Linked DNA regions of Drosophila melanogaster. Changing the gene in region 3 together with the main gene of any one other region gives a genetic interaction. Each region holds a gene or a part of one and is shown on either strand. Other genes may lie near its edges. The genes, in order: pds5, mus301 and mei-W68.

Region 1 (11,902 bases), 7.4 Mb from region 3:
AGTAGATATTTGGTGGTTTCTTGTTAAGCCGGATGCCGAAGCCCTCCAATTCATGCTCGAGGAGTTTCTTGTGGCCAAGCGGTTTCAGGCAATCCAGCACCATGAAAATGAGGTTACAGGTGCGAGCGACAGCAATCACCTGACGACCTCGACCCTTGCCATCCTTAGCGCCCTCAATGATACCGGGCAAGTCCAGCAGCTGGATCTTAGCGCCCTTGTACTTAATGCATCCCGGCACAGTGGTCAACGTTGTGAATTCGTATGCCGCCACCTCGGAGTAAACGCCAGCCAAGTTGGAGAGCAGTGTGGATTTACCCACAGAAGGAAACCCTACGAATCCCACCCGGGCATCTCCAGTCTTGGCCACCTCGAAGCCAGCTGGAAATACATAATGTTTAGTGATTGCCTGAATTATATATCCAAGAGCCTACCTTCGCCGGTTCCGCCGCCGCCTCCTTTGGGGGAAATCAGTTCGCGTCGCAGCTTAGCCAGCTTCGCCTTCAGTAGACCCAAATGGGCCGAGGTGGCCTTGTTCTTTTGGGTTCGGGCCATCTAGGATTCAGTTGAGAAGGTGGTCCAACAACCCGGTGATTTAGATAGAATCCAGGGGGGAATCCGCGGGGTAAATGGATGCGAGACAGGTTAGTTTCTGTAAGATCGGCAGGTACTCCAAGTTCCACTCACCTCCGACTCGATGGCCGAGATTTTCTCCAATATTGTGCTCATGGCTGGCTGAGAGTTAAACGCGGTTCACAGAAAACCCCAGTTATCAACAAATATGCATGTAAAAATAAAATATATAAAACTCTCGCGTGGACAGTTGGAGGTGCAATCGATATGTATTCGATACAATCGATTTGTTCAGTAATGTGGTCGATTCCCAACGTTAGCCAACACTTAACGAATCGTAAAAGTATTCTTAGACAAAATTAAAATGGTCAGGCTGATTGGAATATAGCCGTTACAATTTGATGGCTGCAAGAATGTTTGCTAAAGGTTAAGTTCCGCAATTAAATACTGAGAACTATTTATAAATTAACAAAAAATTAACATTGTTTCAGTTAAACCGCGCACCCCTCTGGGTAACAACCAAGCTCAATTTAAGAGCCAACTGACCAACAACGTCTCGCAATTGAATCGCAGTTTTCCAACGGCCGCTGAACTTTTGCGCAAAAATAGCACCCAATTGCGGCAAACAAAACTAACTGTCTGTCGTAAGGATAATAAGCTAATATACGATGGATTCGTGGAGGAAGCTGTGAAAGTTCAGCCCAAAAAGGAGAACGTTCCATCACCGATTATTCTGGAAAAATCCAGTTGCGAAATGTCAGCCAAAAAGGAATCAGCGGAGTTGCCAAGCTCCCCGATGTTGAAGCCAGGACGAAACTTAATTAGTTTAATTGGTCGCGTGGATTTCTGCCTTAAAACTCAAAAAATGTATCCGGAAATTAATGCTATTTGGAATGTTTACGGTGGGTCTGAACTGAAATACATTCAAAATCAAATTACTATATACATTTTAAACAGAATGATTAATATCGCTAAATTTGGCAAGTTAAATCATTAATTATCGTTTTTCAGGAAAATTGCTACGGATCATTGTGGGAAAACGTGGAGAACACACCTTGCTCGTGCGAAACAAAGAATCGGGGCCCGTCCTTCAGGGAATTTACTACGATTTCGAAGGCGTTATGAGTACTTGGAGCCCAGGTAAAATGCAGGAAACTGATAACCATTACATAACCAAAGTTTTATTCATTAAAAGGCTGCTTTGTCCATCTCGTGGGCCAGTTTATTGGCGAAAATCGCTTGAAAACATTTAAGATTGACCAGGTAAGCGACATTGACTGGCAACAGCAATTTCTGCGCATTGAAAATGTTACCTCGTATATTTTATTGCAAAACACTATGCAAAAGTAATTTATTTTTTAAGGATACAGTTTTCTTGAGATTTTTAGGCCAGGCGATAGTGTACTTTTCACAAGGTATAAATATGCTAGCCTAAGCTTTTCGATCCTGGCCTCCAATCAACAGTGAAATGTTTCATTTTGTACTTTTGTAGTTTACAAATCATGAATAATTTATAGAGTTAGTAACTTATAATTAATATACCTAGGAAATAAGTTAGCTTCAAAATGCCCCCTGACGATTCTCTCCAGGAGCATTGCACAGTTTCAAGGACTACAACAAATACAAATTCCGAAGTGGGCGTATAAAGTCTAATACTGGTGAACTTATTGAACTAATTGGAAGGAAATGGGTATTCAGTTCTACGAGTACAAGTCGAAGTACATGAAGACCGTGACCAGAAATCCGCAGAACAGGGCGCACAAGTAGCCCAAGTGCATCGAGGCAGTCTTCTCCTCGCGGAAACTGCAAATTGAAGTAAAGACTCCATGTTATAATGAATAATTAAAGGTGATTTCCCCAGAGCTTACCGTTTCTTGGAACGCGGCGTAAAGGGCGAGGGGGGATTTACGCCGGGCACCGCGCTGTCCAAGTACACGATTCCGTACGCGAAAGCTGCCACTAGAAGGCCACACAGCAGGGGACTCAGCCTGGAGCCCAGCTGGTGCCTGGTGGCCCACACCAAGGTCTCGTTCCACCTACTCTGCACCTGGTGGCTCAGCACCTGGATGGAATCGCCCGTGATGTATGGCACTGCAAAGAGAACGCCCAAAGCTCGTTAGTATCTCATTTTGAGTGTCGTTCTATTGATTTCACTGTTATCAGTCCTAGCGTGATAAACACGTCAAAATGTTGGGTTTATAACTAGGGTGGTTCAAATTTATTAGTCAGATATGTACGCTATGAGGGAATCAAAGCAATTTGGCTAAATGGAAAGAATTAGTGGGCAAAGAAATTTGCAAAAATGTACAGAAACCCCATTCGTTACACCATAAATAGCAAGGTTGCGCTTTTTATAGATTTGGACCGATGGGAAAGATTGGAAATAAATATTCGTTTGTATTGGTTTAATTATTTCTTTTCTCGACAATGTATAAAATTTGTTTTCTGCTTATATCAAATTTATATGTTTGAATTATTTAACAAATAGTTGATTAAACATGTGTTTTTTCTTTGAGCTTTGTTAAACTTTATTAAATTTTTTGTCGCACTTTTTTTGGAGCCACCCTAATGCAAAACCTGCAGCAAATAAAGATTGCTATATCGTCAGAAATGTAAAATTCGTTATTTTCCTGGGCCTTCTAGCGGTACCTTCTAATGTTTATATTACATACATTAGAATATACATGTATGTGTCGCGTGACGAAAGCCCAGTGCTAAATACCGTTAAGCTAAGCGTAGATGAATAACTAATAGCCGCTGGGCAAACAATTAACTAACTAATGGCATTTTGCCTCAAAGATGAAGCAACTAATCACTCTTTGACGATTTTTCTAAGGTCTTCAGTACGTTTGTATGCAAATGAGACGGCTAATGCGCATCAAACAATTTGCCTTCCTTATATAGACGTTTTTTCGCTATTCGGCGGCTTATGCAGGGGGAACAAACACCACCGCTATGAGATCACACGAACTTCAACTATTTATAAACGCGAGAATATAAACAAAGTGCGAGTAAAGACGACGCAACCGACAATTGCAACCTTGAATTCCCACCCCCGCCACACCGGGGATATACAGAAATAAACAAATGGAAATCCAATAAACCCACAATATATTTACGTTTAGCCCCCAGCTTGGCACACTTACTCGTTAAGATGACGCTTTTGTAGCCAATGATAAGAGTCCCAAAGAGAAGGGCCACCTTTTTGATCAGCGGATCGAGGGCGGTCACCACTCCCACTCGCCCCTTTTCCGAGGGTTTAGCAACACCTACGTAGTGCTCAAGTTTCGGATGCGAGGTCTTCGGCGTGGAGGTGTAGATCCGTCCGTTCGGTTGCCCGTTTTTTTTACTTCTGACTGCCGTTGAGAAAATCCCATTGGTTTTGTTTTTCTCCTGCTGGCGATGCGTGACGTCACAGCCGACTTCGGCTGGTTCCACCTGCATTTCGTGGTTTTGCCGGCGTAAGCTTTGTTTGGAATTAGTTTTCGTTGTTCGAACTGCGCGGCAAAACAACAATCAGTGTCTATTTAACTCGACAATTGTTTGGTTTATTTCACAATAGCACAAAAACAACAAGAAAAACGTCACACCCCCGAAAAAAAACAACGCAGAAAATGCAATTGGAACTAGTGATGGGAGAGTTGATGTTGCACCGTGAACTATCGACGGCCTCTTATCGATAGTTCATTTGTTATCAATATTCAAATTAGTTTTAGCCCTCCTAAGAGCGACTTTGAAATTGAAAAGAAAAAAGTTAGAAACAAAAATTATATTTTAGCCATTTTTTAAACTTACTTTATATTAAAAAAGTACAACATTTTAATAATTTAAACTAAAAGCCCATTTTCGATATCCATTTTAACATTTAAATAATAATCATACGTTTATTTGTAATTTAAAAACCATAATAATTGTTTAATGTACATGTTTTATAGTTTAATGTGTGTATTCATTTTATTTTTATCTTTGTAGTTTTCTTTCCAATTCTTACGCTTTTAGGTTTTCTTTTTGAATGCATTTTGAATGCATACTTGTTGAATTTAACGAGACAATTGTATGTATTATGATGATGTTACATTAACTAAAAATTAACTGCGATCATAGAAAAGTTAATTTTAATTACTTAATAAGGCTCTGTTTACGTTTTCATTACTTTACTTCGTACTTTAACTTATGCGCGATATACTTTCCTTTTTTTATTCGATATACAATAGTCTAAGAATAATGGTAAAATCAATCAATAAATCAAACACTATAAAAGAACAGGATAAAACATTTTAAATGATAAATAATTACTTTTACAGAGTTGCGGTTAACAGATTTTTCGACACTTTTTTCGTTTTTCTTTTTTTGATGTTTGTGTTTTTGGTGTATCTCACAAAATTGATATAGTACATACTGAATGCGAAACTGAACAATCCGAATTCTGGGTGCTTAGTTGTGAGTTGCATGGTGTGGATAAAGGTAGTGTCGGTTTAACAACTATCGTGGTCTTTCCTACGTCTTAAATATTTAGTTAACTTAGGCGCCTAGACTAAACATAACTAAACTAACAAGTATGCGCTCTCTCCACCTCCAATCTGCGCCATCCCAGCCCCTATGATTTGGCTGAAGCGGCTCCTGCGCGCGTTCGTTTGGCCATGGGCTCCGTAGTGTCAGCCGCTCGTATGTTGTCGAACAGATTGTTCTCCTGAAATCAAATTTCACACACTAGTTAGATTCATTCTCAGTATTTTCCAAGGACCTCACTCACCTGCGGATTTTCATCATCCATGATTGACTGTTCCGCCGGTCTCTTTGGAGCCACTGCTGCTCGCGACGTTGTCATTGCTGTTGCGGCAGCTTTGCTCGTGGATTTGGCTCCCAGCGTATACACGTCCAGCGGTATATAGACGTCATTGTTTTGGAAATTCGCAACGGCAGGCTCTTTATAATACATTTCTGGCAAAGCCAGCGGCATGGAAAAGGTGCTCGTGTTGCCATCAAATGGACTGAACTTGGAGTCGATAATGTACATGGCAAGATCGCAGAGCGCCCACATTTTCTGATAACCGAAAAATATATGTATAAATATAATTTAGAAGGGAAAGCCTGGGAAAATGATTGAGTGACATACATAGTTGTCGCGCTTGTCCGACCCCAGACTGAACTCGCGATGCTTTATCAGCTGCAGCAGCTGCTTGTAGAAGCTATGGACAAACGTTTCTCGTTTGGCCATCAGCGGCTCCAGAATGAAACGCAGGCACTTCTCCATCTTGCGCAGCTGTACGTAGTCCTCGTGATTCGTGAAGCGTGGATCGTGGACCAGCACGGGAATAGCGAAAGCCAGCATGTAGTCAGGTAGTATGTGTAATGATTGTGACTCCGTTGAGCTGTCGGGAGCTGGAATAATTTGATTTAATGGTTAAAATACACAATATGATTCCAAAAGTAAAACACCTACATGTCATAGCCACAGTCTTGAGATATTCCCGCCGTTTGTTTACATCCGTTTCTGCATAGTGACGCACAAGGTCTTGCAATCTGTTGAAAATATTTATCAATACTTCTCCGAACGGATCGGATGGTTTCTTGAACTACTCACTTCCTCTCAGTCTCTAGACCAGCCAGCACATACAAGCCCATGAAGTCCAGCGGCAAACAGTTCCTGGGCAAACTTCTGCTTAATCCTTTGTGCAGCTTGCGAGCAAAGATTTCCCGAACTTCTGGCACCGGATCAGCCTACGGGAACACCGAGATAGACATTGAGACTAAGTTCTAAGCACAAGATGAATGTCTCTACTCACCATCAGCTGGGAAAGCTGCAAATACTGCTCAGCGCTGTACTGATCACCTACGCCCTTTTGTTCGCACACTTTGAGCATGGCGCAGGCTGCCCCGAGGCGCAGCCAAGATTTCTCGGCACCGCAAAGACGGTTCTGGCCGAGCAAATCGCCTCGTTGGTTAACAAACGCCGCCAGCATTCGGAATGTTTTCTGGGCAGCGTGCTCATCGGTACGCAATCCCAAAAGCCACCTGGCCATAGCCTTGAGCGCATCCAGCTTACATAGAGTGTCCGGCGGTAGTTTCTCTTGGGCACACCAATCACTGTCCTCTGGCAGTTCGTAGTCTCGCTGCGCAGGAACTTCTTGGATAAGCAGCTCTTTGACAATTCGTCGCGCAATCATATTCTTAATGGGCGTTAGGAAGGCCTGTGGCATATTGTAGGCAATGTGACCCAAGGTCACAATCTTTGTGCGCTGATGCTCACAGTTTGGTGTCAGTTTTAGGCGAAGCGTCTCGATGATCTCGTTGAAAATAGGATGCACTGTTTGTGTAGTTGTGGACGCACTTCCAGCTCCACTTGTTGCTCCATCAGTGGAAGCCGACGACTGGCTGTTTACGAAAATACATCGCACCGCGTGCTTTGCTTGCTTGGGGGTTCCAATAAGTGCGAAGTCCTTGCACACCGGAGCCAGCTCGTCGAGAATAGCCGGTGTAGGGTCGTCAATGAGTGGCTGATAGCGCCCCAGATGAGTTAGTGTCTTTAGCACCAGTGGTGCAACATAATCCTGCTCGTAACTGAGCAGGGAAATTAAATGACGCAGCGAAGTATCGGTGAAGAAATGAGCCGAAAAGACGTATGAAAGCATCTGCAAGTATAAAGCAATCAAATGGATTTCTGTATCATAACTTAAATTATCTCTATACTCACGGCCAACAACTTGAGTCCGCGCTCGCCCGCTTCCTGAGCCGAAATTCCGATCTCTTCACACATGGACCCTTTCTCGATGCATTGTTCAATTAGGCTGAGCAAAAAGATTACCGGATTAAGTCTGGCAAAAGGGCACTTAAAAGCAATTTACCTAATAAGTACGCCAATAGACTCCTTGTCCACCATCACTGATGCCACGCGCTCAATCAGCATCTTAACTGTGTTGTAATACAGATTCGATTGGACGTGGGCGCCAAGCTTTTTCAGGAGAACTCCCATCGTGTCAGCACACTCCCGACAGCTTACGTCGCGTTTAAGGACAATGTTAATGCATCGTAGGAGCTGAGCATCTTTTCGCAGGTTGTTGCTAAACTGGGTTAGGTACTCTGCCGCTTTTAGGGGATCTGGAAGCAGTCTGAAGAAAAAAAAACACATCACTGGTTACAAACTATCAAAAGAAAACTTATTATAGAACCCACTTGGCAATGTTGGCCTGCTTGGCGCTGAGCTGACTAAGTACGCGCGGCGTGAACTCCTTAGAGTGGTGTAGCTTGATCCAATCACTGACCGTATTGCGTGTCTTCATTTGGTTCTTCTGCAGCTCGACGAAAGCCTTGGTGGCATTGGCATCGAGATCGCCTAGCAAATGATATAGCTTCTTCATGCGCTCTTCCGGAGCTAGTTTATAGGGAACCAGGCAGGTGATAAGTAGGCGTTCCACAAGCAGGCGGTCCTCCAAGCCCACTTTGTAGTATCCATGTAGTATCTTGTTCTTAATCCAGTCAACCCTGACCTTAAGGCCAGTGCTTAGATCGTTGGGTTCGCAAATTGCGCGCTTGTAGATGTAGGCCAGACCATTCATCGCATCCCTGCGAATTTTGTACTTCTTATCTAGCGTCCGCTCGCGCACAATTTCTAGTAGATCGGGCGCTTCGAGAACGAGGGTGAAGTCGCGCTTGGCAGTTTCCACAATAGCCATTACCACCTCGTGGCGGACCACTTCGTCAAGATCGTGATTTCGAAGCCGCAATTTCTCGGTGATATCGTGCTGAAGACTTGGGTGATTGAGCAGGAAGTGCATGGATGACTGAACACACTTGATGCGAACTGGTTCGGTGATGTCGCAGAAGCGCCCAAAGAAGATTTTCAACAGGTTGGGGTACTTTTTCGCTAGTTGCGAGTCCTTTTCGGAGAACATACGAGACAAGAGAGTGGTTGCCTCTGTAGTAACGAAAATATGTTTATTAATATGCAAATAGAGGTACATGCTGATAAATTACTCACTTAGCCTCTCAGCATCGTCCGTGGACAGCAGTTTGTTCTCCAGCTGAGGTAGCACTGAACACAACAAGCCTGCATTGATGCGGTTAAGCTCGTAAATGATATCATAGATTTTGTTTGTAATGGACAGTTTTGTGTTTGGCTTATCCATGACCAGAGCACGGTTAAAGAACTGTAGATCAGGGATTAGGTTGAATAACGTGGTGCACCAAAGATCAACGAAATATTACCATTTTGATGGTGGACTCGAGAGCATCGCCCGTTTTAGTGAGAAGTTGTTCTGTTAATTGGCAGGCAAACTTGTTGTTAGATTTGTACGGCTCTACGATGTTAATCAGAATGAGATCCAACAATTCCACCGACAGATTGTCGGCTTCTGTGATCAACGGGCTTAGCACATCTAGAAAAAAGTTAGTCACCTTGACACTGTGCTGGTCACTAGAAAATTATATAACATGTGATTATAAAGAGTTCGCAGGATAAAGGAAGAGCTCGACTTACTTGACAATCTTGAAGATGGTACTAAACAGGTCTTGGAAGATTTCTTGGCAGTCCTCCAGTTCGAAACACATATTAAAAGACTTGACAAAAGCAAGGTTCTCCAGCAGATAGAAGTAACGCTTGAAAGAGGGATCGCGCGGATCCTTCAGACCGTGCAGTTGCTTGATAAAAAACTTAAATATAGTTTTGATTTGATCTTGCTCTTTGTAGGGAGCCTCTGGCGCATAAACCCGCAGGACATCCGCCACGCAGCACGCGATTAAGAGCTGGACATCACGGGATGGATGTTGCATAAAGAAGTCGTCCAGCAGATGGAGGGCCAATGGTATGTATTGCTGGTAGAGATTGTCGTCCTGGTCCATGGTCTGCAGAACATTGGCGAGGGTCTGTAAAACAGAATCATTCTAAGTGAGAAGTTTTGCTAAGGGAACCAGGGGCAGGACTCACCTTGAGGCGCCTTATCAGCTCGTCTGTGCCCAAATCCTCGACCAGCGGCCGGCATCCGGTGGGGTACACTATGTCCGCCATCCTCACCGCCAATGGGAGCTACCTGCAAGCCAGGATTTCAAGGATTCAGTGGCAGGTGCAACAATTCCGTGCGACAGCAACAACAACGAATGCGACCCTCAAAATAACATTGAAAAAGTGGAGGAGGGTGGCATCACGAACACACAAGCACGAAGCTCCACACAAGCACACACACACATGGGCAGCAGCACCACAAGCACACAGAGTGGCCAATATTGTTTGGTTATTTCTTTTTCGCAAACAACAAATAGAGAGCGCCCAAATTGTAGCGCCCTTGCCACTGCAATTTACCCAATGTTTTATATTAAACTGCGGCGCAGTTTTTGGAACTCGGAATCTTACTTTTCACAACGGGCAGGAAGCGGCACAATTTTTTTGCAATTTTGCGAACCCCTGCTTTCGATGACCGCTTAGCGCGCGTCTCCTTCGAATCACTGCACTATGGATGGGATTGATCCTGTCCAGCTATTTACACATGTTCGGTTACAAGAGTCTTTTGCGGTGCTTATGTTGTTAAAAATAAGCAAAAACCAAGGAGCATTTATGTGGAGTGGCACGCCATTAATCCACGCACGAAGCGTTGCCAGAGGTTTTTTGGAAGTGTGGCCAGACTCTTCGCAGATTAGTACATGATTGCATTTCAGCTGATTAGCATTGACGTGTTGTTGGTGCTAGCGAGGAGAGCGGAAGGGGTCGTGTCACGAAATCGGATATATAATCGGAATGAAATCGGGATATAAATAACTTATTAAACTGTATTTATAAATTTACTTAAGAACAACATTTGAGTATCATGTTTGTTTTGCTTTGAGCATTCAGTTAGTGCTAATCACGCGCTCACCTCTAATTTTGTTTGTTGTGCTTGGCAAACAGCTGTAGCGTTGCCACATAGCCGTCGCGGCGCAAGAAGTGCAAACATAGGATAAAGATAATTGCACAATTATTGGCACCTGGAGCCGGCAAACGCTGTAACGGAATTGCCCGCGTTCAAAAGCCAATGGCGCGCATTGGCGAAACATCGGAGGAATGTGGTAATGGACGCAACACAACGTTCCGGCCGTTCTAGATGTTTTGCTTTCTAATCCAATTAAGCGTGTGCGCCCTGAAAGCGATGATGCGGGCCGGTTGTGGTCAGATGTGCGCCGTCCGTTGCAGCAGCTCTACATTCCCGAAAATATGAGCATTCTTACGTAAATATTGCATGGGCAGTGCGTATTTAAATATAGATTGTACATATAGAGACGCAATGTAAGCCAGTTGCATTTGCCAGAGGACAACCGAAAGTATTAATCAAGCAATCCAAACCGATGCGGCATAGCCGGGATTATGGCTTCCTTGCGCGTCGTCAATAGGTGGGTCATAGTTGACGTTACTTTTGTTAACCGAAACTATTTAATCCTTCCATAATCCCCGAAAGAAACAGATTAGTGTGCCGCGGTTTTGTGGCTCTTACGTTGCTGCTGGTCTTCTTCAACGAGTTTATAGTTTACTACATGGCCCAGTCCAGTTGGCAGCCAATCGATTGCAAACTAGGTAAGCCGTAACACAGTTTTTGAGTCGCATCATAACAAGCTATTTTTCCCACATAGATAATTGCACGCGCCTGCTGCTTATTGCTGATCCCCAGATACTGGGAAACTCCTACGATCGATCTTCGCACAGTCCTTTAGCCAGGTACGATTCGGATAGATACCTGGCGAAGACTTTCGAGCGAGCTCTTGCCTTTACACAGCCTCACATCATAGTGTTCCTGGGCGATCTGTTGGACGAAGGCAACATTGCCACGGCTCAAGAGTACAAGCAGTACGTTCAGCGGTTCAGACGAATTTATCAGAATAAGAACTACAAAAAAGTAAGGAGTACTGCTTTTGCTTCACCTTAAATTGTTGTTGCACCTATAATTATTTCAATTTAAAGTTTTTCCAAAGCGATTATACAACTTTGCGAATGGGATTGACCCCTTAAAACCTAACAGTTCCGCATGATCTCTGCCTTTTTTCAGCGCGTCCATGTGCCGGGTGACAATGATATTGGCGGCGAGAATGGCGACTACATATCCAACTCGAACCAAAGACGCTTTGAGAACGAATTCATGAGTGAAGACCTCTTTGACTATGACAATCGATTACGCTTCTTCAAGATAAACCGCATGCTATTGGACTTTAGCAACCCGGATAGGGATAACAATGCGGATCGTCTAAGAATTGGCGTATCCCATGCCCCGCTGCTCATTGGCGGAGGACCCCTGTTGAGAGCCATCATCAGCGACTTGGATCCACATATCATTTTCTCAGGACACTGGCATGAATCCAGAATATTTATTTACCC
Region 2 (10,765 bases), on a different chromosome or scaffold from region 3:
TAGTAATAGTAATATTTAATGCTAACCATTTCCACCTTTCTGCAGAAACGACGAACTCTATATGGCCACCACTACCACGTCGACGAGTACCACAACTACGCCAGCGCCACCCACTCTGCCACCTGCACCTCGTCGTCGCCCTCAGAGACCACAGCGTCCGCTGAGACGACCCTACAATCGCAGACCCATCGATGACTACTACTACGAGGATCAGGATCAGTACGAGGATGATTACTACGAGGAGCGACCCGTGAGACGGCCAAAGCCAAGACCACGTCAAAGGAAGCCCCAAGTGGAGCCGGAGTACGATGATGAGTACGATGACAAGCGAACGGAGGCCAAGAAACCCATCCGGCGCAATAGGAATCGTTACCGCGATGAGGAGGAGGCACTGGATGAGGACTACGACGAGCGACCAAGTAAAAGACCAAGAGGAAAACCCACTGCAGGAACGGCGGGTCGAAAGATATCTCCCCGGAAACCAGGACGAGTGGAGGAACGACGCAGCTTCAACGAAGATCGTCCATTGGGCAGGAGGCGAAGTGAAAAGGAGAGGACAACTCCATCATCCGCACTGGACGACCTAGATGAATATGAAAAGCCCTATAACAGTGCAGATCAGGTGGAGGCCGCCGAGGAGCAAACGCCTCAAAAAGTGAAGACTACTCCAAAGCCATTGACAGAATTTATCACTCCGAAGGCGGCAGCCGCTTCCGTTTATGCTCGTCCTCGAGCTCCGCCAAGGATTGCGCGACCTGTTCCCATCAATGAGAAGAAGAAATTCTCCTATCCAGTGCAAAAGATCACGGCCACCACACAGGCACCATCCAACAGTGCCCAAGAGGAGGAGGACTATCCTGAAGAGCAGGTGGAGGAGGACTACGAACAGCCTCCAGCTAGAAACACTCCTCGCAGACGTACGCCAGCATCTCGGGCTGAGCAGAAGCCCACCAGAACCACTTTGCGCAAACCAGTAACAGACAAGAAGCCCGTCGATGAGGAGTACGATGAGCCGGCGGAGCCGGAACCTCTGAGAAAGCGCAAGCGTCCCTTGGCCCCCAGGTCCCGTGTCCCAGCAGCAGATGTGGACTTCGAGGATGAGGAGTACGAGGAGAGTCCAGCGCCCGTTTCCACAGCAGCTCCCTTGAGAAACCAGAGACTGAGAGCCAAGACAACTACCCGGAAGCCCACAGCGCCACCACGTCCACGCAAACCAATCGTAGAGGACGAAGAGGAGCTGGAGCATCCAGTGGAAGCCGTCGAGGACGAAGCACCTGCACCCAGATCGCGGGCAAATTCATTGAGCGGGCGAAACGCTGGCGCTGGTTTTTCCCAACGTCCTTCCTCGGTACGTGTGGTCAAGAGACCTTTCCTACCATCCAGGGGCGGCAGTCCATATCTGCCCCGTGGCCTTCAGCCGGTGGGTGTGGCCTTAAAACCATTGCCAACCACCGATAGCACGCCCATCGACATGGGTTCCACCATTTCGGGAGTGCGTCTGCTCGAGCATGGGGCTCCTCTGTTGAGGGGTAATCCTGATAGCGGTGAAGATGACGAGGAGGACGCTCCTCCATCGCCCAGTCCACCCAGAACGACACTCCCGCCTCGCAGTGCTCTGCCCGCCACGCCTAAGCGTGTGGAACCGCAGCGACCAAAACTGAATCTCGACGAGCTCTACGAGAACGACTACGATGTGACATTGAACGATGCGCTCGATCCCACGCTGAAACCGCTCTCGCCCCAGCATCCGCATCCTCATTCGCATCAGCTTCCATACCAGCAGCAGCAGCAGCAATCGCAGCGGCAATATGCTAGCGCCTATAATCCATTTGCCTATCAGCCAGCGTATCAATCACCAACATCCGCTTCAGCATCCGCCCCTGCATCCGCATCGCAAGCAGCGAGCTATCATAGTGATTCCTATTTCTCGTCGACAGATATACGCAGGCGGGCTATTGTCCCGGCGCAAACCGCGCGTCCACATCGACTCGAATACGCTGCTGCCGGAGGAGCAGCCGGCGGACCTTCCAGCGGAGGAGCCGTCTCCGGGTCGGGAGTGAGCCGGAGCCACCAGCCGCTGGGCGGACGGATTGCCCAGCATTTCTACGATGACTTTGCCTACTGAAAAGTTCGCTTGTAATAAGGTGCGTTTTTAGTTTGATAACATAGCATAGCATATGTAGTAAAATGGTGTCATATCTTTGGTTTTCAGTTTCTTCAGCTGTAAATAAGTTTCCCCAACACAAGGAGAGTTCCAATTTGGTGCACGGCTCCAACTTCTTAAACAAATCTGTGTCTACTTTAGTCGTTTAGCCGCACAAAACGTACTCGTAATTCGAAATGGCTCGGGACATATGAAGCAATAGCCGCCGAAAAACAACATAACCGATGATAACCTACAGCAATCATTTATCTGAGAATTTTTTGGGTACATTCTGCAGAAAGCTCTTTTCAAAATTTACCTTCGATCGATTATGCTATTTTTGCTGTATGAGCTATATATGTCCAGAACCCCCCTACTTATATATACGTTGTATAATACTCAAATGTCGTGATAGTAGCAGCTTGCGAATTTGTCTGCTAGCTCGTATCTAGTAGTTTATAAAAATAACTCCCTCCTACTTGATTATGTCCAATTAATCGAGAAGCATAACATAAAATATCCAGCAGAACAGAACAATAAGGAAAATATGCATTGATGTCCTTGATTTACATATAGAATGAAAAATACCTAATGTGTTAATTTAAAACTGCAATTTGCATACAAATTGTCTATAATATTTAAGCTTCGTCGGAGATCGTGTTCGTTGTAGAGAACCCAGATGCAAGACTTAAATCGGAGTGCATAACAATCAAAACAAAAACTGAAATAAATTTAAAACCCACTTAAGCTGCTGTTTTTACTTGTGTTTACGTCCTGCTAATTTTTATCAGACGTTTTTAAACAGTCCTTCAGGTTCTCCGTTTCCTCTTCCAGGTGGTCGAGCTTTTTCATTAAAATTATCTAGAAGGAATCCAATATAAGCTTATTAAATGGGTTACAGAATCAAAAGAACAACGTGTACCTTTGCTGCCGAGACAATTTCCGTGGCCACTCTAAGCGGCATGTGCTCTAAGGATTGGACTAAGTGCGACGGCCTCACTCTGGCTATATCCCCAATGGTTTGAAAACCCGCAGCATACAACTGCCTGGCACGATTCTAGAAGAGTAATGCAATTTGGAATAGTCATATCTACTTTTCTGTTAAGGACAAGATTATTTTGCCACTCACGATCTTAACCGCTGGCAGTTCCATTAGCGGCTCCAGCTCAAATGTGCCGCATCGATCCATTTTGTGCAAGATCCGCTCAAACAATGGTTTATAGCACCAAAACTCTTCCAGCTCCTCGCACAGGCGAACAATGGCACTCGCCGCTGCTGTGGATTGACTGATCAGATGCTGCAGAGTTCCCCGCTCCACGTTGTACTTGCTGGCCACGGAGGGAATCGGTAGGAGGTTAAGTATATCCGCCAGAATAAGCACCTTGTAGAGGCGATTCAGCTGCAGGGACAATGGACCTTGCACCGACTGCGTCTTAAATAGCCTAGCTGCATGGGCCTCTGTAAATCCAAGTTGTTTGAACATTGCCTGCGAGTCCAGTGGAAGCGAGGTGTAAACTCCAAACAGAATGCTGGCATCTGCCGGAAACAACTCGTCTCCTCTTTCGTTCGAGTTAAAGCACACGACAAGGTACAGTAGGTGCAAGTAGTTGGTCAGAATGAGCTGCTGCTGGGCCTGCTTGAGCTCCTTGTGAATGGCATTTGCACGCTTGTAGTCGATGCCCGCCTTGAAGGCAGCTCTTCCAATATTGGTCAGCTTAAATGGCGTCGACTGTCCAATGAGCAAACGTCGATCGCCAGCGGGCCTATTTGCCTGACTAACATCCTGCGATGTTATAATATCCGAAGAATTGATCTTAGATTTCGCCTGCGGTTCGGCAAGCTGCAGCACTTTATTTTTGAACATCTCTCGGAGAATACGGAGCACGATCTCGTTCACGGCCACCTCCAGGGATTTGGCCTGCACAGACAACAGTGTGCTGTTTACCAGCCGATTCAAGTCTCTACGACATTCTGCTAAATTCAAGCCAACCACGCTGAGAATAAGCGACTAGGGAAAAAAATTATATTATGTTTATGCATATCGTAATTTGGATTAATCAAATAAAAGCATAAAAAGAGATAGAACTGCCTTCTGTCCCATTACTGCCAATTTGAAAAAAAAATTACAAATCTATATAGAAGGGATCAGCAAAATTAAAAGCACATTTTGCAATAATGTAGGATGTGGCCAAATTTGGTAGTTAGGACGCGGTCACTTTGTTTAGAAAAATGTAAAGGTAACACTTTTCATTTCCCTTCTTCAGTCTTTAAACAGATTTCGCCTAGGAAGTCAGTGACAGCAAGAAACTACATAAAAATCTGCGATTTTAAAAAAATAATTGCAATTTAAGGAAATATTCATCGGTGTAAGTAAAAAAATAGTAAATAAAATAAGAGAAACTCCGGAAATTTTTACGTTTAAACAAACGATAAAATGCAAAATGAGTGTTTTAACAAAATTAATATTTTCTTTCTCATCAAGATCTGCGTAAAAAATTCACCTAATTTTCGCTAATTAAAAACTTACTTGCAGTCCAACTGCCTCATTTTGATCCAAGGAACTTAAAGCCTTATCCATAGGCGAGAAAAGCATTTGTCCGACCAGCAGATTGTCTTTGCTCTGGGCTATCAGGATACTCTCGCCAGCTTCACCCAATCCGGCGCGACCTGCTCGTCCCACCATTTGCTTATACTTGCACAAAGTCAGAAATTCTTGACCCACATAAGGAGCACGTATGATTACCCGCTTGGCTGGTAGGTTGACCCCTGCAGCCAAAGTGGAGGTGCAACAAATGACTGTGACGACTCCAAATCTATACGCAGTCTCAATGTACTTCCTCTCATCGGTTGTCAAGCCCGAATGATGATAGGCAATCCCGTAGGGTAGGGTTTTCGCCAACACCGGGCTGAGTATGCCGCACATCTTGTCCAGGGCATCCATTAGATCCAACTTCTCGCTACGCCGATGCTCAAAAAATTTATGCTTTGGCACAATGCGACTGAGAAGTAGCGCCACGTTCTCACAGTTTTTGCGGCTAGGACAGAAAACCAAGCAGCAGTGTTCCGGAGCACATTCGCTTATCAAACCAGCCAGATGGTCGGGATCGGCGCGTTTGACGGCTTCACTGTACTGCAAATAAAAATTAGATCAAAATCTTTTACTTTCGGCAACATTTTCCAAACGTCTAATTCGAATATTCCTTACATTGTACTCTACACTGCGACTGGGGACGAATATCTCCTCCAGCGTTTGACCAGCCGAATTTATTTCCAACAAATCGGGGCCACATTTGATGTACTCCTTTAGCTCAACTGGGCGAAAGCCCCTGGTGTATACATCAGCATTCAAAAAAGAGGATATTTCGCTGAGATTTCCTATTGTGGCACTCATGCCAACAATTTGAATATTGGCTAGAAAACAAAAATTCCATTAATCTGTACAAAAAGTACCACAAAATATCCACTTACCATTTAGAAACATCACTTTGGTAAGGAAAGCCTCCAAGGTGGCCCCTCTACCCTTTTCGCCTATCAAATGCAGTTCATCCACCACCACCAGACCTATCTCATGAGGACGTTGTACGTCTATCAGGCTGTCCATTAGAACAGCTCCCTTTTCGATGGAGGCAATGAAGAGACTACGTCTTTTGCGACGCGGCTGAGGCGGACACTTGCCCTTGCCGGCCGTGTATTCCTCCACAATGAAATCCAGGTCGATTGCAAATGGAGACATGGCGCTCACCTTCTCCTGGACAATCGACACATATGGCAGGATGAACAGCACATTGCGTTCGCGGCAAAGTAATTCACGCAGCATAAGGATTTCGGCTACTAGAGTTTTTCCACCACTTGTGGGCAGAGCGTAGATCAGATTTTTGCGCTGCCTGATGGCAGGTAGATTTAGGCACTCGTCCTGCCATTCTGCGGAATTAATGGGATCGTAAACTAAGCTTATATTGGTTTTCAATTAGCAGTCATACCATAAAGACTATTAATGCCTTTGTGTTCCAGAATCATCTTTTTGACCTTATCCGGCAGGCCATAGAATTCGCCCTTGCTGGGAAACTTGTCTATATCTTGGTTATTCTTCTCGAAGTCCGCAAAAGCCTGAGTCTCCCAATTGACTGGATCTAGGAGGGATTGGTTCTTCAGCTCTTCGCAGGTCACATACTGAGTGCCCTGCACTAGGCCCTCAATCACAGATTTGGAAATGAAAGACATGGAATCGTCTTTAAGGGGGGCCAGTAGCTTCTCTGGTGTTTTGGGCTTCTTAAAGGTCATTGCGTCCAAGAAGAGTTGTGTGTTTTGAACCATGGGATCACTAAAATCATCGGCGCCATGGAAAATATCCTCCATTTCGGCAATGCTCAGATCGTTGAGGTTGATTTTCTTAAACAGCTTGTCGGCGTTTTCCTCGTCCGCCAGGTCGATTTGATGTTTATCAGTTGGTGCACTGGCTTCATCCGGTTTAGAGGCACTGTTGGGTGGAACACTCTGTGCACTTGGAAAGGATGTGTCCGCAAAGAGTCCCAGTCCATCATCCGACCCACTTTGCGTCATCTTGTTGGTACTTGTGGTTGCTTGCGTGCCAAAGAGCTCCTCCTTTCGTCCGTCCAGCAAATCCTCCAGATGCGCGTTGGAAAAGAAGCTGTCGTCGTCTTCGCCCTCCGGCCAAAAGAGGTTTTCGGTGCACTGACGCTTGGCATGGCTTTCGCTTGTTGATTCCTCGCTCAAATCCAAACTTCTTTTTTTGCACAAATTATGCTTATTTGCCATTTGGCGCGAAATAGTGTGAACTTCGCGTGAAAATGAAGGAAAACTCAGGCCAGGGCTGCAGCATGTAAGCCAAGTTTATAACCGGGATCGTGTCTCAACTTAAGTGTTGATAAAGTCGTATTCCCTAACGATCGTTCCTTTTATTTATAAATATAACATTTACGGTATACGATTTTCTTCTTTTCGTGTTTCCTATTAAATAGGCAAAATCTGGCAAAATTTTAAGAGCTACGCTAACAAAATAATTACAACCGGCTTAAATGTACTTTAACGTTGCACTCCCCTAATTCGTTTAACAGCACTGCCATTTACTGTTTACCGCTGACCAAAAAGTGCGTCTTGTTGCTAGTTTAAAAAACGTAATTAATACGGGTTTTGAATACCAGAACACCTTCGCGTTTTAAAAAGTAGATTGAAATACTTATGTTTCTTATTACGGGAATTTTGTATTTGCATAGAGAAATCCAACAATCAATGCAGTAATTCACTACCACTTGGCAGATTTGTTGTTATAGTAAGTGCATGAAGCGTCGCGCACATTCAATGTTCAATTTTCACTCAAAGTTAGCAGTTTTCACAATTTCCTTCAGTTGAGTACGAGTGTAACGTAACAGTTGGTCAGGATGAGCAGCGTGTGGTACCTGGAACATGTGACCACTGGCGCACGGCTCATCCTGCACAACGGCACTAATTTGATGGGTCGCCACTCGCGTTGCAGGATAATCTTGGGTGGACAGTACCAATTTGTGTCCCGGGAGCACGCCAATATCATCGTGAGCGAAAAGGGCGTTGAGGTTGAGTCTCTGGTAGGTTATTGCAGCTCACCTAAGATGTACATGCTTTTAATAGTTTATGCTTTTATCACAGAACCCCCTGAATGGGCTCTTCATCAACGGGGGCAAATTGGGCGACAAGATCAACCGTCTGGCAGTAGCTGAGGGCTCCACAATCAGCCTAGGAGTCACGGGAGTCAACCTAAATGAAATAACTGGCATACATGCTATATTCATCCTAAAGAAAAAGGAGCCGGTAGTCGAGGAAATCGTTCTGTCGTCCGACGATGACGATACAACACCACTGCCCGCCGTGCGATGCCCCACTGGCACTCAGCCCACCGAGTTCAATCTGAAACAGCAAATACCAAACTTTGGCGGCAAACAGGACCCCGGCCAGGAAGAGGAAGTACTACCTTCGAGTTCCAATTTGCATCTACCAAAACTAACAGAAGTTAAGCAGGAAATCGTAAAGCATACCTCCGAAGAGATACAAAACATTTTTGGTGAACCAAGTGACGCTATTCTGAATTCTGTATTGGAACTAAATCCATATCTGTACAACAAGCTAACTAACAAGACCGCGAACAATGAAATAACCCGCAAAAAAATACACGACGGCGACTGTATAGAACTGGACACGGATACGGATAGGAGGAGCATTTCGGAGGCGCAGAAAGCCGAAGACCCTTCGGCAGAGCGGGAAGTAGACGACGAGGAAGAATACGATGAGAGTTTCGCCATGTCTCAGGCAGTGATCAGGGAAATGAAGGCCGAAATGCACGTAAGTGATGGCGAAGAAGACTTCTTGCTGACCAATGGCATGGGAAACTTGCCTGAAGGTTCTCCATCGAACCAAGCTTACGACGACATCGTCTACGTCAGCGATTCCGATGACGATGAGCTGTACGATAAGGTGGCGGATTGGTCAAAGCTGCTAAGCCAAAAGGTGGTACCAGACGTCATAGAAATGTCGCAGACCTATCCGCTAGAGAATGAACACAAAGATTCAGACTCAGACTTAGATATTGGAGCAAAAAAACCGAAAAGGACACTGCGGATCTCATCCTCCAGTGACGAAGACTCTGCAGACGAAGTGATTGTCCATCAAACAAAACAAAAGGGAAGGCGCTCCAAATCGAAATCTCCAAACGACCATGTTGTGCGGCAGGGTAAGTATACAAATAAATTAGCTATTATTAATATGACTAGTAACAATATTTATATTGTTTTATCTTTGAAACAGCCGACAGCACGACTCCGGATCTTCCAGCTGTTCGTAAATTATCCGTCTCATCTATTGATTCTGTATATGAAAATAAACAGACAAAATTAAACTCTAAGCTTAAGTCGTGCTTAAAGAGCCCGACCAAGACATCAGTAGATAACATGGAAAATATGACGGAAACCAAAAGTTGCTCAAACCGTCAGCGCGAGCAAATAGTTGCATCCCGAAATGAACCAACTAATATCTGTCCGCAAAAGATTGAGACTAACAAAACCTCAACCCGTAAGCGATTCGTATCGACCACTTCTCGGGATGAGTTATCTACCACTTCAAAAGAAATCAAAGATGCTCCTAAAAATAATGTGGAACCTCCTAAAAAAATGTTGCGCAGCCGTTCAAAATCCTGTTATATAGATAGGCCTGTGGAATTGGATGAACACATAACCAAAAATGAAGTGCCCCTTAAGAAGAAATATGAAAGTGTTGATAATAGTAAGGAAGAACTGATAGTAACCCTGGAGGCTCCAGCAATGTTAACGACACCTACTAAATCTAAAACCCAATGTGTTAAAAAAAAAGCAACGCAGACTCGCGGCAGACGAAAGACAATACACAGCCGTGATGAAATAAGATCCTTGACAGCTGAGGCTGAGGAAAATAAAAAGATTTCACCAGCAAAACAGACCAACGAAGAAATCCCTATTCCAACTAAAAGTCCTCTTAAAAGGAATGCGCGGCTGCTCAACCGATCAAAATCGTGCTATATGGATCGTCTGGTGATCTCGGAAACCGAAGATCCTGCCAAGAAGGTGATTAAGGATATATCTCCAACTAAAAGCGACACTACAGACAACGTTCTAAACTTTGTTGATGTGAGACAGACACGCGGCCCCTCTGTGATTGAGGCTCCATCCTTGCCCAAAAATCGAGGTAAGCTTCGAGGGGTCTCGGCTGAGGTGAAAGTTAAAGATAAGGTGCTAGATCGCCAGCGTTTTATTGACTATCAAGCCGAAATGAACGCTAAATGGAAGCAGAAACCCAAAGACAAGAAAAAAGAAGACGAAAAGCTAAAAGAGTGCCGCCGCGAAGCCCTCAAGAAGCTGTCTGAAAAACCAAAGGAAAATAGTCATCGTTCAACAACCAATAAGAGAAAGAATCCTACAAGTGTTCCCACCGTTCAAAACACCAATCGTGGCGGATTTTTAACGAAAGGAGTGGATGGCCCAGCCCCAAAACTGGCAAAGACGGATAACGCTAAGCCACCACCAAAGAAACCAGTTCCCAAACAACCACCCGCTATCGAAACGTTCTCACAGCAGCTCCAAGCAGCTGATAAAGCTGTTCTGCATCCGCAGCCACAGTGCTCGCGTCCAGTAGAACGGAAAGAAGCGGAGCTGGCGAGGAATCAGCGCACTTGTAACAAAGTTACCTTTGCTGAAATGGAGCTTTACCATCAAAAAGCCGAAGACTCAAAGAAGCTACAAAAGAAACTGCGTAAGGTGCATTTCAACGATGATGTGAAAGTACACTGTATCGAAAGGGTTAAGGGAGCCAGTTCTAAGGTTCAGGGCCGCAAGGAGTGCATAAAGCTCCGCCTCAGCTCCTACCGCGAACGCCGCGAATGGATTCGAAGGGAAAATAAACCAGTGAACGACATACGCCAGCACTCTCGGAGTATCCTAAAGTGGGCTAACCAATGGCTAAAGCATGGCAGCGTAGATGCGGTTGCTGAACAAGATGTCTTAATGCCCATTCCACCTGAATTTGATAGCTTTAAGAACTATAGAGAGTGAGTTGTTGATAGTCTTCTAGTTTCTACACTATTTCAACCTTAAATTCATTTTC
Region 3 (9,928 bases):
GCGATTTGGATTCGGATCACAACGATGACAACTGCGCTTCAGCTTTTTTGCAATCTCTTCGCCTTACTTCTGTTGTTTTTTTCTTTATTTTTCGCGTTTTGTATTGTTTGACGTAACGCCCTTGTGCTTGTGCGATAATAACTGGTCACAATGGCAAACGGCAAATTATAAATTGAAAGTAACAAAAATAACAACAAGAATACCAGGGGAGTCAACTCATCGCGGGGCGATAACGATACAGGCTAGGCGATATAGCAACGATATCGGCGGAGAGCGACGGTTAATGACAACAGAAAACAGCGCGACGACGGTGACCACACGAATGAAGTGGAACTTAATACTAAAACAAGCTTTCGACCATCGCTGCTGTATGCTGGCTACTTTTGCCATTGTGGCTGCCGCCACTGTGGATTGTAATTCTGTGGATGTGGCGAGCGAGCGAGCGAGCTTGGCATTTTTGCCAAAGTTCTGCGTCTGGGAAGGTCGTTGTTGTTGTTGTTGCTGTAGCTACTCCAAGACAACAACGACACACCCTATGAAAATCGTATGCAATCTGCAGGTAAGTGCAGGTGATTCATACACCCACACATGCACACTTACTCAAAAAAACTGGTAGAAACCACACATATTTCTCGAAAAACATTGAAAAACTTTAAAGAGAAGGAGAGAGAACTCGGAAGAGCTTTGGCAAAGGGATCCCCAGTTTGGGAACCTGTCTGCGAGCCGAGCTTAAAGCCCACATAAACATCAACTCAGCATAATTTAAAAAGACTTCCACTGGAAATTCCAAGATAGAGAAGTAAAGATTCCAGTATGTAGCTTCTTAAGGAATCGAAATCTTTAAAGATTTGAAAAGAATCTGTCAAAAATGAATATTCCATGCGTAAAACAAATCATTTTTTAAGATAACCTTAAAAATGTAATTTTTGTAATATTTTTAGTGTTATAAAAACAATAAAATTGAAGTTAAAACAAGATAGAAACCCAACAACTTTTGTAAAACTTCGGATAAGTATATGATCATCTTGATCTTCATCACACTAAGAAGAAGGAATTAAAGAGGATATAACTAGCCAAAGAAAAGACGTTATAAGTTAGTCACTCACGATTCCACACCTAACGTCCACAAAGGCAACTAGTTAAGCTTATTTACCTACACCACGTAAACTATTCAAGTGTATGCATGTCGGATACAAACACACAAACTAAGGCAAAAAATTATTTAAAATCAAAACAGTTATATGATTGTGCGGAGAGGAGTACGAATCACACGGATTTGTTGTGGACAACAAAGATAAAGGCAGAGAAACAGAGAGGAGATAGAACGACCGACGTGATGTGATTATTGAGAATTGTTTAAATACTATAATTGCACTTCTGAATGGACGTCGTCAGCTGTATTGACTCAGACTTTTAGTTTTTCGAATGAAGCAAAGTCCACTCATTTAGTATGTACGTATATCATTTAAACTACCAATTATCAAGTACCCAAAATAAACGGTAACAGTACCACCCAAAGTTTTCGTAAAAAGGTAAATAAGGTGACAGTTATATTTTTATATGTCCAACTCATTAAATAGGTCCCAGATATAGAATATTCTTGGATACCAACCCATTTGTCGTGTTAAAGGAGTTCACTGAACTTGTCGATTTAAAACTGTAGCACGGTACACAACGATATAGATTTTATTTAACTGTGTTCACAGTGATGATGATACATATATGTAAGAAAAACAATGAGATGTATACGAGGTTTCGATTACTCATAATATGAGACATCAGTTATTCTAGATAAAATTCAGAAAACTAAACGTTACTGTATAAGCAGACAGATTTATAATTCTGATATATGATATGATTTTTAAAATACGTTTTTAAAATGCATTTATATATAAATTTCCCCCACCTGACAAAACACAGCGTTACTTTTCGTACGACACATTTGACACACACGAAGGCGAAGCTTAGATTCGAATCAGTTATATCCAGCAGTATGGTATTTCTTATTCAACAAGCTGATTGAAACTTTAAGAGTCTTCACTTCACCTTCGACAGGCTACCTTCCCTTGATACCCTCTATAAATGGACCACAAGAAAACTGATGACCCAAGCCACATTGCAGGAGCAAACAAGAGATGGGTTGATGAACAAGGCCCCCAAAAAAACGGACTAGGGGACGTGGGGACGGGTGATAGGTACGGACACTGACGAAACCCAAAGAAGGACTCACCTTGGCGGACGAGGTTCGTTGCTTGATCGCGGAGGGATGAGCCGAGTGGGTGCTAAGCACGTTCTTGTTGACGGTGGGCGCCACTCCACTGCCGGGGGTGTGGTGATGGTGGTGGTTAATCGCTGAGCTCGCCACCACCGCCGAATTGTTGCTGGACAAGCGGGCACCGTCGGTGGTCATGTTGTTGGCCACATGGTGGTGGTGTTGGTGGCTGTGCTGGTGCGAGTGATTGGTGTTGGCCGCTGACGCCGAAACGGTCGCTGGACCCTGGGAAACAGATCCCACTCCACCTGTCGCTGCCGCCCCCGAGGCCGGCGTGGGCGTGGCCGCAGTGCTATTGCTGGTGGCCGAATTCGAGGACGTTACAATGGGCATCATTGTGTTAGTGTTGGCGACTGGCGTTGTCGTTGGTGGCAGTGACACAATGTTTGCATTGGCCGAATCATGCTGCTGCTGCTGCTGTTGCTGCTGCTGATCCTTGACCGAATGCGAGGATGTGCTGATCGAGTTGGTGGCGTAGGTGGCGGTTGTGCTGGAGACGGCGGCCAGTGGTGGCACCGCGTTTGTTGCGCTCGATACTGGCGCCGCCGGTGCTGCTACATTGGATGCTGTGCCATTGGACACGCTATCCGCTGGCAGGGCCTCAGGAACTGACTGCAGTGTGGTGCGCATTGCTGTCGACATATTTTTAAACAGTCCAATAGGGATTCTTAGAGATTCTGCACGTGAGATTCGAGTATTTTCGGGAGTCTTTCAGGTTTCGGTGCTTAAAAGTAGTCAAATGCCCAATGGGTTTCTATCATCCGTGGTACTCCTTCACATCTGCAAGAAATAAATGCACGCAATTAGTATGGATCTAAACAAAGCAGACTACTTGTATCTTTCGGCACCTATAATATGACTGGCCATTCACTTGCCATTATCAAAAACGTAGCCAATTACCGGCTCCGATTACCGACCTCAAGCCATAACACTTTAGAGGCACAATAAAAAAAATAATCTCCTTTGTCTGCTTGAGTTTACTGGCTTCGTCCACACAAAGTAATGCAGAAAATCAAGTTGACCACTCAATACGAAACACTAGAAGCAGATTACTCAGACATTACGAGTGTAAATTACTATTATCCGTTATCCAAATATTAAAATTATGTTTTCTAAAGGCAAGGATCTTAAGGTACTTTAATATTAATTAGTCGTAATATTATATTGACGTTATTAAAGCTGCATTGAAATTAAACATTACATTTTATAACATAAGCAACAAAATCGGAATCCCAATGAATGGGGAATTTAATTATTAAATTACTATCTTAATTAATTCAAATATTAATGGAAAGCTGATTACGCGAACTAACTTTTACAGTACTATTTTTAGGAGTCTTATGGTATCTTTATAGAGATACGTTTTTTACAAACTAATTACTATATTACTATACCTACAACATATTTTAAACTAACTAATAATATTTCAAGAGTAATAATATTTGGCTTATGGGGTTTACCACTGAACTCTACAAAAACAAGTTCCGATTGATTTTATTTGGTATATAGTCGTCGGTCAGGAAGTCGATGACACTCTCGATTTCGGCCTTCAGCTGAACGTCCTGCAGCATGCGCAGTTCCTGCCGCACTCCCGGCTCCAAATCGTGGCGGGCGAGGAGGTCATTGATTTTCTTGTTGTCGCCGGCAACCAGGGCAACCGCTCCAGTGCCGAGTGCGGGAATCTCCGAGGGGTGTAGACCAATCCAACGCAGCGCAGGTGTGGTTAGTCCTTGGCTGGAAAAACTCATGGACTTCGAGCCATGGCGATAGACTAGCATTATCTCGACGCCAAATGGATCGGCGTCAACGAGAATGTAGGCCGCCAGTTGGTTCTCCTCGGTGAGCCGATGGACAATCCTCCGGGTACAGCAATCGGGGTATCCTTTTCCAGTTATAAGGATGAAGCGTCGTTCAAAAGTACCAAATACATTTCTGGATAAGAGACTCTCAAAAACCGACTCCTTTTCAACGATTAGCACAAATTCCGCCAGCGTTTCGATTCGATCTATCTTCTCGGGATCCGTGGGCAATGTCAGAGGTCCACCATACAAGCTGCTGTCCAGAACGTCTCCGTTGGTCATCAGCAGCCTTAAGTCGCCTGCAAGAGTAACCGGATGAGCAGGGAGCCTTTGATCAGGATTTCGAGATAAACTCACCTGCCACCAGGCCCTTGGAGGCGGCCAGTATGCCCAAGCTTAGGGGGGATGTCCTCAGCATACGACAGACATCTAGCCTGGCTTCGGCAATCCTGGACTGCGACCGGACTAGCAGAGGATTGTCATAGTATAGTCCACGGACGGTGAAACTTCCTCCGCGGACTTGCAATCGGTGCACCCGGGAGAGCATGTAAATCAGCACGCAAAAGCTATGGCGACTTCCGCGATTATTATAGCTGACTCGTCGATATTCCGAGATCACGTTTCCGGATGAATTTCGGGGAACACTAAGAGTGGCATTGCCATGAACCAAGTTGCTCAGCAACTCGAGGGCAATTCTTTCTATATTCTCCGAAAATTCATCCATTGTTCTAGCAATTTACTTATATTAGGAACGGATTCTTAACAACAAATATGTACGTCTTCTTGATTTCGTACTCTTGCAATCTACAAAATGAGGTTTTTTAATATCCAAATTAAGAGAAATTAATAATAAATATAATTTTACTTGTGAATAACAGATTTAAACTTAATTAAGCGGCATATATTTTAACAAGAACTTGGTTACTAACGCTTAAATTTTAAACAATTACATTTTTGAATTCCTCCAACTTTATGTATCCTTGCTCCCAATTTCCATTAGTTCTAAATTCGCATGAATTCTTCTGTTTATGTTCAATGATTTGAAACATTCTCTAGAATACAAAGTGTAAGCACTTTTTTGGTCTAATTTAATTGCATGGGTGGTGCCACGCCCCCGGGATTTTCTTGTTGGTTCTTTGAATGCCTTTGTCACAAGCGGAAACCCCGCAGGAAAATGAGTGAAAACTGTGGGCTAAAACGTTGAAACACGCCCACCGACCTACGCACAGTAATATTTCATAAATACGTAAGCAATTCGTGGACTTACATACTATACGAAAATCAAGTGGTCTTTGCACTTACTTATATCTGATTTTGTAAAAGTTTATCGCGTAAATCGTTGCGTGGAAACATTTCGAGGGGGGTTATAAATAATTTCCGAAAGGAGCTTGCTGGCTAAAAATATACCATCGAAATGAAAATTCCCTTTCGGTGAAAACAACTGTTTTTTAAAAATTTAAGCACGCACACTAGTTGCAAATGAAGAGAGCGCGAGGGAGAGTGCCATAAGTTTATGTGAATTTCTTTATTCGGTCTTTCATTTTTTCTTCTTATTTTATTATTCTTTTTTCCTTCTTTTTCGTATGTGCAGAAAAGTGTACTCGTTATTACAAAGCACACATACACCGAGTGTGGGCGGGCGGGGGGTTTTCGCTCTCTTTTGGGGAAGAGAAAGAGAGAGACTGACGGAAAAGAGAGAGCGCCAACGAATGGGCTAGGAAAACTGACGAACGGAACGAAACGGAATGGCAGCCCAAGTATTGATTTGCTGGTTATGGTGCTGCCACTTCTTGTACTTACCAATGAAATACAATTTCCGATTGGCCCAAGAAAAGCTAAAGCTGAAAAGCTATTAGCTCTCTCGCTCAGAGAGGAGTCGCTAGCTGATGGTCGCTGCTGTTGTTGTTGTTGTTGCCATCGATGTAACGCATATTATTATTTAATTTCTTTCGATTTTCCCAGTTCCTTTTCCGATTCCGTTTACCCGAAAGTGGTTAGGTTTGGAAAGGCTCTGCTTTTTACCGACTTTTACCGAACGAAAACGACGACACACACAACGAAATGCAAATGCAATACATAGCTTTCTCACTCGCTCACTAGCTACCTCTCGACCGCTCTCACTCGCACAGCAGCAGTAGCAGCAGCTCTTTGGTTTTCAATCAGATTTTTCTTTCTTATATTTTCTTATCGCGATGGTTTTTTCTTTCGCTTTTTTTTTAAGAAGAACGGTCACCGATTTTTCACAAGGATTACGAACGCACCCCCACTGCTCTCCCCAGTCACTGAAAAGCCACAATAATAACAACAACAACGACAGTCTTGTTGGCAACAAATGGAAATATTCGCTATATGCTCTGCGCTGCTCTGCCCTTCGCAAAACTAATGTGTATCCGCGATGGGTAATGGGTAACTTGATATTGATACGATTACTAATATTATTGATAGCCGATTAGCCGACATAAGCGGTGGCCGCAATTGGCAAACGACGATTGTCCCGCTCCCGCAACGCAGTTAAATATTACTATTTTCCTCCGTCCACATCCACTTTGGCAGCAACAAAAGTATGTACGTCTCGGTCTCTCAAAAAAATTCACATTACGATACGGCAGCCATATTGTAGCAGTGTTGCCAGCTGGACGGTATTCAAAAATACTAAACTTTTTCTCCTGTTACTACTTATATACTAAATATACAGCAAGCTGTCATCTAAAAACCGCGCCCACAGACTGATTGATTAATGTGTAATTTGAAATAACCAGCTAAATTTTACATTCGAGAATGGTTAGAGGCTACACAACCTTATATACATAATTGTTTATTAAGATAATTTAAATTCATAATATATTTGTTCAATATTAACAACAACATAAACAACATACTTTCAGGGGCAAATGTATGAATTTTTGAAGTGCCGTGCCGACTTTGGAAACGGCCACTTTGATTTCTACACCGCGCCGTTAACCAACTGGCAGCACTGCACTAAGAGAGCGTGTTCTGAAATCTAAGAGAACAATATAACATTTTTTAAAAGAGAAAAACAACCAAAAAGACAGGTCACTGTTATTATTGAATTTAACTTGATAATGAATATTTTCTTATAACTGCACTTAACTTAACAAAATAATAACCATTTTTTTGTTTTGCTTTTATTTCAAAAAATATGTATTTGTATAATAAACAATTTATCTAGTTTATGTGAGTCACAAAAGTTTAGTTAACGATAAAAACAAACTTTGAATGATTGTCTTCAATGAATAAATAACTTAGTTACCAAAGCTTTATTCTCCCTTTAAAATCAAGTAGTATTTATATTACCTTCTAATCTTACTCCCTGACTTTCAATTCCCTGAAAAGTTCTATATTGAAAACCACGAAACTTAGAGCTACACAGATTAAAGAATGTCTAGCTAAACACTACTTATTTAGTCGATTATAAGTAAAGGGAGGACTAACCTTTAGTAGAATAAAGAAGCTTAAAAACTGTAAGTCAAAAATAAATTATTTGATAATTAAGTTAAGTCAAATTTATATAATTTCCCAACTGGCGGTGATCTTTTCCAGAATTTTTTCTAAGTTTTTCTAGATATTTATGACCTCACATCACATTAGTGTATTGGCTGTGAGGATTTTGAGTTAATCTCAATCCACTTCCTAAGTAAATCCCCCGGCTGCATAGTTGGCTGTTGCTGCGGAAGAGCAGTCCTCGAGTATTGATATTCACTAGGCGTTATTGTGGGTGTAGGTGACGGCATTGGCGGAAAAACTGCGAAATTTCGCTGACTCTCACGGGCTTCGGACCAGCCGTAGTCCCTTACAGTTGCAGCACCTGTTCCGCATTGGGCTTCTGGACGTGGCTGCGACTCAAATCCAGAAGATTGTGACGAAGTGCGGGAAAGTTGATTCTGCTGTTTCTCTTCGTAATGTCTCATTAGATTGGCAGTGCATAGATCTTGGTTCACACTTTGATTGGCCGCCACCCAGGCGCTTACATCAGCTCCGCCGACGTTCCTGTTTATGGACGGCAAACGCGATGGCATCAAAAGATTTTGCGTGGATCTAGTGAAAGTATTGCCTTGGGCCAGGTTACTTTGTCCATGGCGATACCATTGGGACTCTAATGGTCTCATGGGTTTCTGTTGAAACATCATCGCCGGCTGGACACGCGGGGCAACCACTGTAGAGGCATCTCCATAGTTCGAGGACCAAGCCTGCTGTTCCATCCGTTGCTTCGACAGATGCAACGAGTCCAGGGACAGCAAAGAAGCAGGCGCCTGAATTGTTCGCTGGGAAATCGTTGGGGCGGGTGAGTGGCACACAGAGGCGGTTCGCATGGACAAATTGCTATTGCTGATATCACTGTATCCACTTAACTGCTGACTGAGCATGCTCAGCGTTTCATCATCGCATTCGTCCGCACAGAGGCGATGGAAGCTCTCACAGGCAGACTCGTCCCGATTCACTTGGCTCAACAGATTGGTCCGGTTGGTGGCCAACAAAACAAGGGTTACAAAACTTCCCACCAGCTGTTTAAAGAATTTGTTAAATAAGATTCAAATATAAGTAAATGCACTTACTATAAAGGATATTCCACTGATGTAAGGATCCAGGAATTCGATACCCATGGCATACCCACTCCATAACAATAGAGCAATGGTGAATCGCGTAAATTTCAATCCGTCGTATATCGTGTGCAGGAAACACAGGGCCAGCATGGCATATGGGTAGATCCCAATAAAACAGGATGCGAAGGTTGCTTGCTGCACTTGCTGTTGGCCTATGCCAAGCGAATACAGCAAGAGCTTGCCAAAGGTACGGCCATACAATAAAAGTTTGGCTATCATTTCGCGCTGTTCCAGGAAAATGCCTACGCTCGAAGTCACCACTCGAATTAAGGCCAGCACGTGGGAGTAGGCGTAGAACAAGGTTAGCCCAATGAATTTTCCAAGGTAAGTCGTAAACTGAATGGAAGTTGCATTCGGCAGCCGGCAGAGCAGGCACAAAATATTGACTACAGTCAGGATGGTCATCAGAATGCGGTATCGCTGCAGTTTAAACTGCTTTTGGGCAGCGGCCAATCGGTTGAAGTGCGGCTGCTTGAGCAACGATGCTCCCTTGATGATATAGTTCAAGAACTTGGAGCTCAACACCATTTTCTTCTTCTCGTGCAGGACTTTATTCACATGTCGTTCGCAGCTGCTACACAGGCGAAACTGCTTCTCCAGTCGTTCTCTACGGAAAACATAAATATTATTATTTAATAACTTGTGCCCCAGCTTTTATATTAAAGGTTCTCTATTAATAGATATAAATTATAAATCGGCTTACTCATAGAAACTATCTAATCTAGTTAACTTGTCTTTGATTTGCAAACCGATGTAGATACGGGTATTTAGATCATATTCAGACATACATTTGTATGTTTGTTGTATATCTTATTTGCTTGACTTAAACACGATTAACTCATTTATAAAACACATCAAGCTAAATTACTTTGCTTGATTCTTAGTAAACATAGATACCATAACATTGTATATATAATGCTTATTGTTATGACAGCTCACCTGTAAACCTTTAGTTCCTGATCGAATCGGGACTCGTTCTTGGGCTCGAATTGAGAGAGCTTCTCGACCTTCAGGCGCTGCGCCTCGTTGCACTGGTCGCACAGGCCGTTTTTGGGAGCAGGAGGTTGAGCAGTCAGGACATCGGAATAATATGAGTTGGCACAGATGCTGGAGCTGCCTTTGGAGCTGTTCTTTTGGGAGCCAAGGCTGCAGTCCCGCTGCGACGTAATATCCCGGTTGTAGTCGCCGTCCTTGGTGAATCCATTGTATTGCTCGCATGACGGGCAGGTCCAACT

What was found.
Region 1: of mei-W68 (region 3) and pds5, changing one suppresses a phenotype caused by changing the other (phenotypic suppression), as found in Drosophila melanogaster (one study listed by BioGRID).
Region 2: of mei-W68 (region 3) and mus301, changing one suppresses a phenotype caused by changing the other (phenotypic suppression), as found in Drosophila melanogaster (one study listed by BioGRID).

Annotation. Positions count from the first base shown.
Region 1 is NT_033778.4:12,026,247-12,038,148, reverse strand, and holds pds5 (precocious dissociation of sisters 5), read right to left. Parts: upstream 10,165-11,902; 5' UTR 9,917-10,164; intron 9,855-9,916; exon of another isoform or gene 9,597-9,854; 5' UTR 9,575-9,596; coding exon 9,494-9,574; intron 9,433-9,493; coding exon 9,047-9,432; intron 8,984-9,046; coding exon 8,776-8,983; intron 8,718-8,775; coding exon 8,549-8,717; intron 8,486-8,548; coding exon 7,744-8,485; intron 7,680-7,743; coding exon 7,416-7,679; intron 7,359-7,415; coding exon 7,265-7,358; intron 7,203-7,264; coding exon 6,357-7,202; intron 6,292-6,356; coding exon 6,155-6,291; intron 6,094-6,154; coding exon 6,014-6,093; intron 5,953-6,013; coding exon 5,687-5,952; intron 5,615-5,686; coding exon 5,324-5,614; intron 5,261-5,323; coding exon 5,168-5,260; 3' UTR 4,424-5,167; downstream 1-4,423. Other genes in the region: 128up (upstream of RpIII128), read right to left, coding at 1-378, 432-552, 685-726; CG43191 (uncharacterized protein), read left to right, coding at 984-996, 1,062-1,472, 1,582-1,710, 1,766-1,920; CG8321 (uncharacterized protein), read right to left, coding at 2,271-2,373, 2,439-2,661, 3,717-4,014; Mppe (metallophosphoesterase), read left to right, coding at 10,901-10,926, 10,992-11,107, 11,164-11,426, 11,550-11,902.
Region 2 is NT_037436.4:8,133,991-8,144,755, reverse strand, and holds mus301 (mutagen-sensitive 301), read right to left. Parts: upstream 6,949-10,765; 5' UTR 6,920-6,948; coding exon 6,124-6,919; intron 6,065-6,123; coding exon 5,612-6,064; intron 5,555-5,611; coding exon 5,349-5,554; intron 5,274-5,348; coding exon 4,671-5,273; intron 4,152-4,670; coding exon 3,273-4,151; intron 3,201-3,272; coding exon 3,066-3,200; intron 3,005-3,065; coding exon 2,921-3,004; 3' UTR 2,742-2,920; downstream 1-2,741. Other genes in the region: CG13676 (uncharacterized protein), read left to right, coding at 46-2,125; Setx (senataxin), read left to right, coding at 7,543-7,725, 7,787-8,864, 8,939-10,709. UniProt on the Drosophila melanogaster protein: Single-stranded 3'-5' DNA helicase that plays a key role in homology-driven double-strand break (DSB) repair.
Region 3 is NT_033778.4:19,452,919-19,462,846, reverse strand, and holds mei-W68 (meiotic W68), read right to left. Parts: upstream 6,678-9,928; 5' UTR 5,872-6,677; intron 4,876-5,871; 5' UTR 4,796-4,875; coding exon 4,429-4,795; intron 4,371-4,428; coding exon 3,742-4,370; 3' UTR 3,324-3,741; downstream 1-3,323. Other genes in the region: CG7744 (uncharacterized protein), read right to left, coding at 7,677-8,594, 8,646-9,300, 9,633-9,928. UniProt on the Drosophila melanogaster protein: Required for meiotic recombination. Together with mei-P22, mediates DNA cleavage that forms the double-strand breaks (DSB) that initiate meiotic recombination.